Arabidopsis thaliana: one gene and its partners. The protein of the gene in region 1 interacts with the protein of each later gene in a pairwise test. Each region holds a gene or a part of one and is shown in the gene's direction. Other genes may lie near its edges. The genes, in order: FRI, AT5G61920 and FES1.

The links.
Region 2: the proteins of FRI (region 1) and AT5G61920 interact in a two-hybrid assay, tested with the Arabidopsis thaliana proteins (one study listed by BioGRID).
Region 3: the proteins of FRI (region 1) and FES1 interact in a two-hybrid assay, tested with the Arabidopsis thaliana proteins (one study listed by BioGRID).

The regions. Positions count from the first base shown.
Region 1 is NC_003075.7:266,895-270,647, forward strand, and holds the start of FRI (FRIGIDA-like protein), read left to right. Parts: upstream 1-2,006; 5' UTR 2,007-2,131; coding exon 2,132-3,070; intron 3,071-3,463; coding exon 3,464-3,469; 3' UTR 3,470-3,636; intron 3,637-3,725; 3' UTR 3,726-3,753. Other genes in the region: KEA2 (K+ efflux antiporter 2), read right to left, coding at 1-895.
Region 2 is NC_003076.8:24,862,377-24,866,129, forward strand, and holds AT5G61920 (FLX-like protein), read left to right. Parts: upstream 1-1,913; 5' UTR 1,914-2,117; exon of another isoform or gene 2,118-2,452; 5' UTR 2,453-2,453; coding exon 2,454-3,022; exon of another isoform or gene 3,023-3,104; coding exon 3,105-3,252; 3' UTR 3,253-3,643; downstream 3,644-3,753. Other genes in the region: AT5G61910 (DCD (Development and Cell Death) domain protein), read right to left, coding at 179-624, 739-852, 943-1,353.
Region 3 is NC_003071.7:14,312,865-14,316,617, reverse strand, and holds the start of FES1 (Zinc finger C-x8-C-x5-C-x3-H type family protein), read left to right. Parts: upstream 1-1,903; 5' UTR 1,904-2,051; coding exon 2,052-2,175; intron 2,176-2,515; coding exon 2,516-2,609; intron 2,610-2,693; coding exon 2,694-2,917; intron 2,918-3,055; coding exon 3,056-3,753. Other genes in the region: AT2G33840 (Tyrosyl-tRNA synthetase, class Ib, bacterial/mitochondrial), read right to left, coding at 74-156, 251-356, 606-702, 795-1,078, 1,164-1,317, 1,507-1,607. UniProt on the Arabidopsis thaliana protein: Transcriptional activator involved in the FRIGIDA-mediated vernalization pathway, but not in the autonomous flowering pathway. Acts cooperatively with FRI (FRIGIDA) or FRL1 (FRIGIDA-LIKE 1) to promote FLC (FLOWERING LOCUS C) expression.

The DNA.
Region 1 (3,753 bases):
CCTCATTCAATCTATCTACTTCCTTCTGCAGCTCGTCCTTCTTAACTTGCAAACGCCTGAGTTGTTCCTCACAGCTTGCTAAATTTTCTTGGCATTCTTTTATGTCAGCCTTAGCAGATAAAAGGGCTTCCTCTTTATCTTTAACACCATCTCTAACCTCACTCTCTTCAGAAGTATTGTACCCTTCTGCTTCTAGTGATTCAAGTGCAACCTGCAGCCTTGCTTCAGCCAGAGATAATGCCATAGTAGCCTTCTGAACAGCTTCTTTAGCAACGGACTCTTCATCAACAGCCTCTTGAACCACATTAAGTGTTTGGTTTACATCGTTCCACGCACTGGCTGCTTCATCCTTAAGTGCTATCGCTACCTCTGAAATCCTCTGAGCCTTTTCTTCAAACATGGTACTGTTGAGACTAGCCACTTCCAATTCTTTAGTTGCCTTATTCAGTAGATCCCTGAGTTCCTCCAAACTAGGTGCAGAATCTTGCTCTCTTGTGTCTTTCTCTTCCTTAGAAAACGTAACCTCCCTGTCATCACTACCTTCAGCAAATTCCAAATTCCGGTCATTCCCAACCAAATCTCCTACAGAATCGCTACTTTGACAAAGTAACCTAAACCCCAGCGGAACATTTTGGGGTTTTGCAGGAAGCAAATGACCGTAAAATCTTCCATTGAAATCAGCATTCAAAGTCAAAGAAGAACGATACGATACATTTCGTTTCGATCTAATAGCTGAGCGAACTTTAGAATCAATCATCGGATCCCAAAATCTAGTGCCGCCGAGTCCTTTGGGACAGAGTTTCGCACTTATCATTCGATTCGGCAAGCAGTAACTCGCAAAATCCGCACCACCGTGAAACATACTCTGGCGCTGAACGCTAGACGCAAAATCCATATTACTGCTGCAGAAAGACGGAGAGAACAAGAGACTGACCGATCATAAGAGAAGAGAGCTTCAAGGCTTCAGCTGATGAAGAATCAATGGCGGCGAGAGTGAGTGAGAATCGAGTAGTTACTGAGAGGAAGATGAAACGTATCTCCTGAGAAAAAACGTAAGAGAGTTCCGTTTCAACAGTATTTTTCTCGGCGGTCTTCAGATTTTCCGTCCAACTCTCTCTTTCCTCTTTCAGTTTTTTTTTGCCCAATCACTCGTGGTAGGATTTTTTTATAAGAAAGTTACGAAAATGCCCTCTCGTGCTTAGAGAGATTCAATTCGTGCACATATAATATGCCGTGAATATACCACCAACTCTCTTACTCGTACTCGCATGTGGTGCGTGCAATATACACGTGGTTCGAATCAACGGCTACGTTTTACTGATAGGTGGCTCGTTTAGTTTTGCACTGCCTTTGGGTGCGCGTGACCAAGTCATTTTCCAAATGTGTTTTAATATTTGTGAACTATTATTAATAAAAAAGCGAGCGACGTTGTTCGTTGATGAGGGAGCGACCGTACGCTTGGCGACCTTCTCTGATTGCGTAGAGTCGTTTTCCTTATTGGGCTTACCTAGTACCGTCAGCCCACAATGTTTTCATTTCTTTCCCACCTAAAACTAAAAGTACTCACAAGTCACAACTTAAACCAAGTACACAAGGATTTTATCATGGGATTATCGTGTTTGAAGACTAAAAAGAGCACACCATCACCCCCATTAGTGCAGGTAGAGTAAGACAGTAACTTTTGGGTTCATATTACCGAGCAAGAACCGTTATTTGTGATTAGACATGTTATAAACCACTGCTTTAGTGACTATTTAAAACAATATATTACATGTCGTAATCATGCAACCTAACTATGTTTTCATTAATCAAATACAAAGAATAAAGAGAAAAGTGCGTAGATTCAATTATTTGGCATAGACTCAAAAGAGTGTATATATATCTGACTTTTATTAAATTATTAAACACAAATACATATTTTCATAAGCAAAACTATAAAAGCCCTAAACATATAACGATTACCTCAAAGGAAAAAGTCGTTTTCTCCTAATTAAAAGATAGGTTACTTCCTAATTAATATATAATTTATGTGAACTTCACAATATACAGTTCAATAAAATTTGGTAATTTGACCGATTTAAGGAGAGTGGAAATTAGGGCTTCTGCAATCTTTTTTCTTCGCCGCAATCTCATGTCCAATTATCCACCGACGGTGGCGGCGCAACCCACAACGACGGCGAATCCACTGCTGCAGCGACATCAATCTGAACAGCGACGAAGAGAATTACCGAAGATTGTCGAAACAGAGTCTACAAGTATGGACATTACGATCGGTCAATCTAAGCAGCCTCAATTTTTGAAATCCATAGACGAATTAGCTGCGTTTTCAGTTGCAGTGGAAACATTCAAACGCCAATTCGATGATCTTCAGAAGCACATCGAGTCAATCGAAAACGCAATTGATTCCAAACTCGAGAGTAACGGCGTTGTCCTCGCCGCGCGGAACAATAATTTCCATCAGCCGATGTTATCGCCTCCGCGGAACAATGTATCTGTAGAAACCACCGTCACTGTGAGCCAACCGTCTCAGGAGATTGTACCGGAGACGTCGAATAAACCGGAGGGGGAACGTATATGTGAGTTGATGTGTAGCAAAGGTCTGCGTAAATACATATACGCGAATATCTCTGATCAAGCTAAGTTAATGGAAGAGATTCCTTCAGCTTTGAAATTGGCCAAGGAGCCAGCGAAGTTTGTATTGGATTGTATTGGCAAGTTTTACTTACAAGGGCGTAGAGCATTTACTAAAGAGTCGCCTATGAGCTCTGCGAGACAAGTTTCGCTTCTTATACTGGAGTCTTTTCTTCTAATGCCTGATCGTGGTAAAGGGAAGGTGAAGATTGAGAGTTGGATTAAAGATGAGGCGGAGACGGCTGCTGTTGCTTGGAGGAAAAGGTTGATGACTGAAGGAGGATTAGCTGCGGCTGAGAAAATGGATGCAAGGGGTTTGCTTTTACTAGTTGCTTGTTTTGGTGTTCCTTCAAACTTTAGGAGTACAGATTTGCTGGATTTGATAAGGATGAGTGGTTCGAATGAGATTGCCGGTGCTTTGAAGCGGTCACAGTTTCAGGTACCATATTCTGTTCTCACTCGGTGAATTTCATTGCAAAGGTGGTTCCTTTTGTTGACATCATCGACCAACATCAAGTTCCATCTTTGTTTTTCGATAAGCTTGATGGTATAAACTAGGAGAGCACATCAAATATTTAGAGTGCAATGACTGATTGAGCCAAATCCTAGCTAGAAATTAATCTGGAAAGAACTTGGAACTCTCAACCATAGGTTTTGGTACGAAATTGTTGCTTGTCAGAACCAAATGATAGGCTATTGCCTTGAAATAGTGTTTCTTGTGGTTTCCAATATTGGAAGTTAAAATCATATGACTTAGCTGTTGGATACTAATTAAGCTTAAGCAATGCCAACTCTAAGAAGTGGTACTTACACAATATTCTATTGGTCATAGGTATAGTTGAATCAAGTATCAAGCGTGGAATGCATATTGAAGCTCTTGAAATGGTTTATACCTTTGGCATGGAGGATAAGTTTTCAGCTGCTCTAGTTCTAACTTCATTCTTAAAGATGAGCAAGGAGTCATTTGAGAGGGCAAAACGGAAAGCCCAGTCACCGCTGGCATTTGTATGAACCCTTCCCTTGCACATTATGTACCTTTATGAACTCTTTATCATCATCTGAGTCTGACCATTGATATATTTATTTCTCAACAGAAAGAAGCGGCTACAAAGCAGCTAGCTG
Region 2 (3,753 bases), on another chromosome or scaffold:
ACATATAAGTAACTGCAAAGCCAGGAAATAGGAACAATGTAAACATCTGAAGAGTGGAGGAACCTAGTAGAGTTCTCAGGTTTAGCTATGATTTTAAACATCTGATGGCTACAACTTCAGGTCTTCAGTGAGCTATGATCGACATATTTGGGCAAAGATAAAAGTTCACCATAGGTACCTCCGAATATTAGATAAAATGGTGAGGTATTTGAGTTGAGGATCCTGAATAGATGACCGCGGAGGTTCGGACCGAGGAGAATCTGAGCGAGAAGGGTCTCCGAGCAACCGTAGTTGCCGAGCTTCTGTAGGATAATAAGGCTGATTCAAATTTGACAGACTTTCTCTAGGTGGGGTCGTGTAGTCGTCTTGTCTAAAGTAACTATGTTGAAGCAGAGATGTGCGGGGAACAGGCTGATGGGCCATAACAGAGCCAAGTCGTGGTTCTACATGACGAGCAGACAGAGGATCTAAAACCGATGAAGCATTTCTAAGATGTGTAGCCGCTATGAACCTTTCCTCAAACGATAGAGTCCTAGGTGCTGAAGCTCTGGAAGCCAACCTATGAGGCAACAAATCGAGTTCTGGAGACGTAAATGAACGAAACAATGATAACAGAGACATAACCTGCAATCCATGAACATTTTTGTTTAGCATATCATAATTGAAACTTGAAAGCCAAGCCGGAAAGCCTGGAACTTTGAAAGGCTGTGTTATAAATAGCAAGAAAAAGTGTATTACTTGGTGAGGAGAAAGTTCTTGCTTAAATTTGGAACCTTTGTAATTTTCATAGATAGCAGACTTGAAAGTGTTTTCTGTCAAGGGTAAACAGTTCATGACAATTCTAAATCCAACCTGCCAAAATCAAGTAAGAAAATAGAGAAAAGAACAATCTTAGGCAGTGCCATATAAACAAAATCATATGTGTTTCACACACAGGCTTACTTGAGCTGGATATTTCCCTTCAAAAGCTTCAGGTTCTATATCCAACCTGCCACCAACAGTAGCTTCATACACACCATAAAGAAGTCTCTTCTCAAAGTCATAGAGGAAAAGCTTCATGCCTGGCTTTATACTCTCAACAACGTCTTTTCCTCCTCTTGGAATCCCGAAAACACGGTAACGGTAGCAATCGGTTTTCGTTCTCCCATTACACATAAAGATATAACCAGGTAGTTGCTCATGATGATCTAGTCTCCTTTCTATTCCTTTTTCTAATCCAATGGTTGTGTTTCCATTCCCATAAGCAGCCACAAGACTTCTATTATAACCCGGAGGAGCAAAGTATTGGGAGGCAGTAACATGTGAATTACCATTAGTTTGTTCACCATCTGAGAAATCCATCTCCGTCTCCATCGCTTCTGCCATTTTCAATGCATTTCAGTACAAGTACGAAGATGACACTGAAATTACAAATTTGGAGCTTAAAGCGATTGAAACAAATGTGGGATCAAGAAATAATAATAAATACCTCAAAACGAATTAGGTTATGAGAATCTAACAGAAAAAGCTTCTTGAATTTCAGAAAAAATAAAATCAAAGAGAGATATGTGAATGAGGTAAGAAGAGCAAGAACAAAACTTACTTATCGGATATTGAAACCCTAGAGACAGAAATTGAAAATCAGGAAGATTGAATTCGAGAGATATTTTTAGCGATCAGCTCATTATTAGCTTTCGATTTTTATTCAGATAATTTCAAGCGTGCGAATCTGAATTGATGAAGTTGGATTCTTCTTCCCTTGTTCAAAAAAGTCGGGAGAAGAAGATGACTTTCAGAGAAGGAAGCTGAAGGTCACGTGACAGGCATGGAAGGGAAACTATTAAAATGGGCCAATTACTATCTAATGGGCCTTAATGGATTAATACTGGCCCAAATCTATAAACGAAACTAATTTGGCGTCTTTAATGGTTTTTAAATCACAATTTACAGAGAACTGGAACTTTTTTCTGACAAGCCGAGACCAAAGCTGGTGCTGTTGTGGAATCGATCGTTGTCTTTGATTTGATTAGAGATCAGGTTTTAGAGCATAAAGCTCTTAATTTTGCGACACTTATCTCATTTCGGTGTTCGGTTTCAGCTAATTTTAATCGAAGATCATCTCTCTTTGTGAATTTCAGGTTCGTCCAATTGTGATAAGGATGATATAAGGGTTTCTTAGGATTTGGTAAATTGGGTCTTGTTGTTAGCTTGAGAATCTAATTCGTAATTCCTCTTTCTGGGTTTTCTTCTAGCTCGTGTCAAGATACGATGTCTACAGATTTGCCATTGTCTTCGATTACTCAATCTCATTGCATAGATAATTTGTCTGAAAGAAGATAGCATAGTGTTGAATTTAGAATTTGCACTCAATTCGCTTCTTAAAGTTTAAGTTTTTAGGTTAAAAAGGAACTCTTTGTTTTTCTTTGTTCAATCTAAGTTTTTGAGTGGAGTCTTGTCTTTTTCTTTCTTCCAGAATGTCTTCAAGGGAGAGGATAGGTTCAAATCATCATAGCCGAGTTAGCCAAGGTATGTCAACTAGTGGATCATCATCGTCGAGGCACCACGATACCATTTCTTCGACTTCGGATCCTCGTCATCTTCGAGACCACCAGATTTCACTTTCTGATATTCTAGAAAACAAGATTGCAGTTCAAGCTGCTGAGATAGACCGGCTCTCTAATGACAACCGAAAACTAGCTTCAAGCTACGTAGCTCTCAAGGAAGACTTAACCGTGGCTGACCGCGAAGTCCAGGGGCTAAGAGCTCACATCAGAAAGACGGAAACAGACCACGAGATTCAGATCCGATCGACTCTTGAGAAAATAGCGAAAATGGAGGGTATGGTCAAGAATCGAGAGAATATAAGGAGGGAAGTGCAATCAGCTCACATTGAGGCTCATAGATTGGCGAGAGAACGTGAGGAGCTTGCTTCAAAGGTGAAGTTGGGAATGAAAGATTTGAAGAAGGTTTGTCTTGAGGCAGAGAGTTTAGAGGCGTCGAGTCAAGAGCTTGAGCGGTTGAAAGAGGAGCATCAGAGATTACGGTAAAAGAATTGTCTTTTACGTGTCAAGTAACTGTTAAAGATTCATCATCAGTTTTTTTAACCAATTGGTTTGATGGAACAGGAAAGAGTTCGAGGAAGAGAAGAGTGGGAACGTAGAGAAACTTGCGCAATTGAAAGGGATGGAGAGGAAGATAATTGGAGCGGTTAAAGCGATTGAGAAGCTGCGAAGTGAGATCTCAACCGCAAGGAACAAAGCTGTCGAGAATTGAATGGTTTTTACTTTGTAGGCTGACCAAGAGGCTCCTCTATATAGGGAGGATCACAAGAACCGCAAGGATCGCAAGAGGATCAAAGCTGTATATGAGTTTTCATTTTTTCTATATCAACCTGTTTCTTCTGAAAAAAAGATAGAGAGTAATGAGTTAGAGAAGTGCTTGAATGGTCGATCACAACATCTGCTGAGAATTAAACACCAATGTAGAAGAAACGAAGGAGATTATTCTACCGCCTAAACAAAGAGTCTTCAGCCATCTTTTTTTTTTTTTTTTTTTTTTTTGGTCAACCTGTCTTCAGCCATCTTAATACATTCTTTAGTGCCTCTCGTGTAAAACAATGTCAGTTCATCGAAAAACAAGACCGGGTTAATCTACGAATCTGGCTAATAGACAATCGCTAGTTCTATTCTGAACAGTGAACGCCTTTAAGATACCAATCTGGAACTTTAAGATTTCTTGTATAAATTTATAGGACTTCAAGAAATTGAACTGGTT
Region 3 (3,753 bases), on another chromosome or scaffold:
CAAAACAAGTCAACAACTGTGATAACTCTTATCTACTTTTGTAAACTTAGAATTTTGGCTAAGTTATAGTTACCTCTTCATCTTCCATAAAGATAGCAGATAATGGATCACTTTTGGACATCTTTTCTTGTCCTTGTTGGAGACCAGGAAGCATATCTGCAAGTAGTTAACAATGATAAATGATTAACAACACGCTAGACCAGTTAAAACGTGGTATAACAGAAGTCAAATAGGAAAATGCAGAGCATACGGTGTGACAAGATTATCGGTTTGTTTTTCCTCTTTATGTCATCACAGTATTCTCTCGCTAGCACATTTACTTTTCTTTGATCCATCCCAAGCTGGCAAATATCAGCCTACATATGTAACGAAAATGGTTTAACAGTAGTCACAGAACTCATCAGCCAGATACACAAAATGTAACATTACATTGATAAAATCTGCAATCATATACAGCTTATTTCTAGCCTGGAGCTTTTATCAGGTGTTTTATCAACAATATAATAGACTTTCTGCTGATGTAACGCTTAAGCTAAATTTTTTATTCCGAGTAACTAGCAGCAGAATCAAAGACAGTTCATAAGCAAGCAAAGGCTTAACAGTACCTCAAGGAAAAAAATATCTGCACATTGCATGCATGGGTAAAGGATCTGGGCAGCACTCAGTTCATCAGTCTCACTACGTCCCATAATCTGCACACACCTTCAAGGACAAGAACCAGAGTCATTCAGGTCCCATCATTTCCCTCACATAATTACAACGTCCCAAGAATGGAGAAGATTTAGAAAAGTAACCTTAAGATTCTAGGGAGCTTGTTTTTGCGAGCAATGTCCATCACAAGAGGCCAATACTTATCTGCCTTAGAATTAATTTCTTCGGACGACCACAAAAACTCTACTTTGTCATTATCCATCCCAGCAGCCTTCCATATCTCTTGAAAGTATTCTCCAACCACTCTGATTTTCTTCAAGTCACCACCCATTTTGTTGTTCAACTGAGCAAACCAATCAGCAATCCAAATCTTCACTCTGCAACCAGCTGAAGTCATTTTGTTCACATTGATGACTTTCATCACTCCCTATTAAGAAAACAACAGAACCAAAATAGATTAGCCAACGCTTCCTTCCCACATATGGTAATGGAACAAAGGAAAACTAACAGACCTGAGCAATGTGCATTCTTCCTGATGGTTCAAAGCCGTCGTAGCAAATCGGAGCAGCCTTCTTAGCAAGAAGATTCTTTAGCTCTTCCTCTTGTATACATTCCTCACCGATACTCCTAACAATTTTGTATCTCTTCTCAACTTCTTCACTCATCCTGAAGAATTAGTAAAATTTCAATATCTACCAGACCAATAAGCAGATAACAAGATCTTTTCAATTTTAAATTCCATACTTCTAAATTGCTATAGCTTTTTCATCTCTTCCACTCTAATCAAATAATATAATCCAAATCAAAATTGAAGCGCGAAAATGAAAAAAATTGATGATTGGTAAGAAAACTCACTGGAATCCATCGGACGAAGAAGATGCCTGAGTTGATGAAACGGAAACAGCTTCCATCTCCGACGACAGAGCATTGACGATCTCCGAACTTTGGTCTGCCATCAAATTTAGCCGGCGGCTCCTTCACAAAATTGCGAAATTGCGGAGGATTCTTAGGGTTTACCAGTGGCAGTGATGGAGACAGTTAACGTGCAATATAGCACCACTACGCTTCACGATTTTCACGGTTTGATTCGATTCTCTTTAATTTTGTTTTGGTTTAATCCGGTTACTATAAAAAGGCAACGATGTGTTAATTTAGGAAATAGTTGGTAAAATTTGGAATTTAGTATGGGCCTTAATACTAAAGCTTTAATTATTTAGGAAAGGCCCATTAGATATAAAATAGTTCGGTGGTCTTTGTAACAATGGTGGTTTCGATATACCAAACGTATTCTCGGAGATCATCAGGACTCAACAGCGAGCTTCGGACCCCGATCACGCCGCAGTATTTTTTTTTATCAATTTACCACTCTCTGCGTTGGTTACCTCGCCGAAGACTTCAAGATGTCTGATTCCGACATGGACATTGATGATGATGAGGTCGAACAAAAGGTGCAAGTACATACAATTGTAAGAGAATCTGAATTGTTTGATAAACCACCAATTCAAGCTTCCAATTCCCACAACGGTTAGTATTTGAAATTCGTGATTGGTTACATGGTATTGTTGATTAATTCTGTCAAGTTCGTGTTTTTATTGATGGAAACACCTTTTCCAATTTGGAATTGATGAATTTTGTTCTAGAAGAAAGAGAGAATTGTTAAATTGACTAGATTTAGCTCTGATTAGAGGTTCAAAGACTTGGCAATTAGATTTTCACTGAAGCTCTTTTGTAAAAATTGTGGCTTTAATACCAAGTAAGCAAATTCAATTCTCAGAGTTTTGTGCTTGTTTCTGTAAGGAATCTCTTTTGTTTATTCAAAACAGCAGTTTTGCTAATATGTACTGATTAAACTTGTCTCATGTAGATGTGAAGAGGCATTCTGTAACAACACCTTTAGATGAGCAATCAAAAATCATAAAGGAGCAAGCTTTTGCTCAAGATAATGGTACTTTACCAAGGTATGGCAAAAAAGTTTCTGCTTAAGTTTTGCTGAAACTAAGTTAAGAGGTTGAAGCTTTTATACTGACAAATTCGGTTATCAGATTTCCTGCTCCGGGTATACCGCCAAGAAGCTTTTTCACTGGCGGTGGTGGGAATGAACCAGAACAAAAACGTGCAGCTCTTCCCTGCAAATTTTTTGCTAAAGGGTGGTGTTTCAATGGGGTGTCCTGCAAGTTTCTACATGTGAAAGAGAATTCAAATTGCACTAGTCAACAACTGGCGGAAAATAGTATGGCTGGAAACGGTGGTATCCGGTCTGATCTAGGTACGTTGTACCATGAATACTTATTCTTGTGATTCTATGTGGAGGTAGTTCCAACAATATAGAGGCCGGTGAATATCTATGGGGTTTAATTACTCTTTCTGAATCAACCAATAATTTATTTTGCTTATGTCTATTCAGAAAGAAGAATTTTGGACAGCAGAGAAGGTGTAAGAGTTTCCCAGTTAAGCGAAAACGGTGTGACATCGTTGCCTACCAGAGAGGATATATCTTTCATGAATCCTCAGAGAGTTTTCTCCTCCATGTCTTTTGTGAATCCCCCAGGTTCTCAGAGAGTTTTCCCGTTCAATAACGAGATGCGCTTTATGCCTTCATTTGAAAACATTAGAAGAGAGAGTTTGAAGCAAACGTATGGTGCTGATTTCACTGACAACAGGTCTCTAGTTATTAATAACGCCAATTCCTTCGCATTGAGAAGCAGCTTTGTTCATGAGCATAGACCTTCTATCAGTTCCTATTTAAAAACAGACATGGGATCTGCTGGACCAGCCTGGACAGGATCATTATCCAGTTCTGTTCCTATGAATGATCGTGCTTCTACGGTGGGGGATTTTGAAAATGGGAATAGTTTATCTGGATCCGGATCACTTCCAACGCTGCAAGGGGTAGCTGTTTCTTCTGATAAAGGCGCAGAAGCCAACACTACTAGCACTAAAAAGAAAGTTTCTTCAGATGACTGGGAACCTTCTGAACCTTTTAAAGCATCTTTTACAATTCCACCTTATATTCTTCCCTCGTCTGATGCCCTCTACGATCCTTTCACGGATATAGAGAATCTAGGAGACAGACCTCTTAATGATTCATTGTCAAGTAAAGGA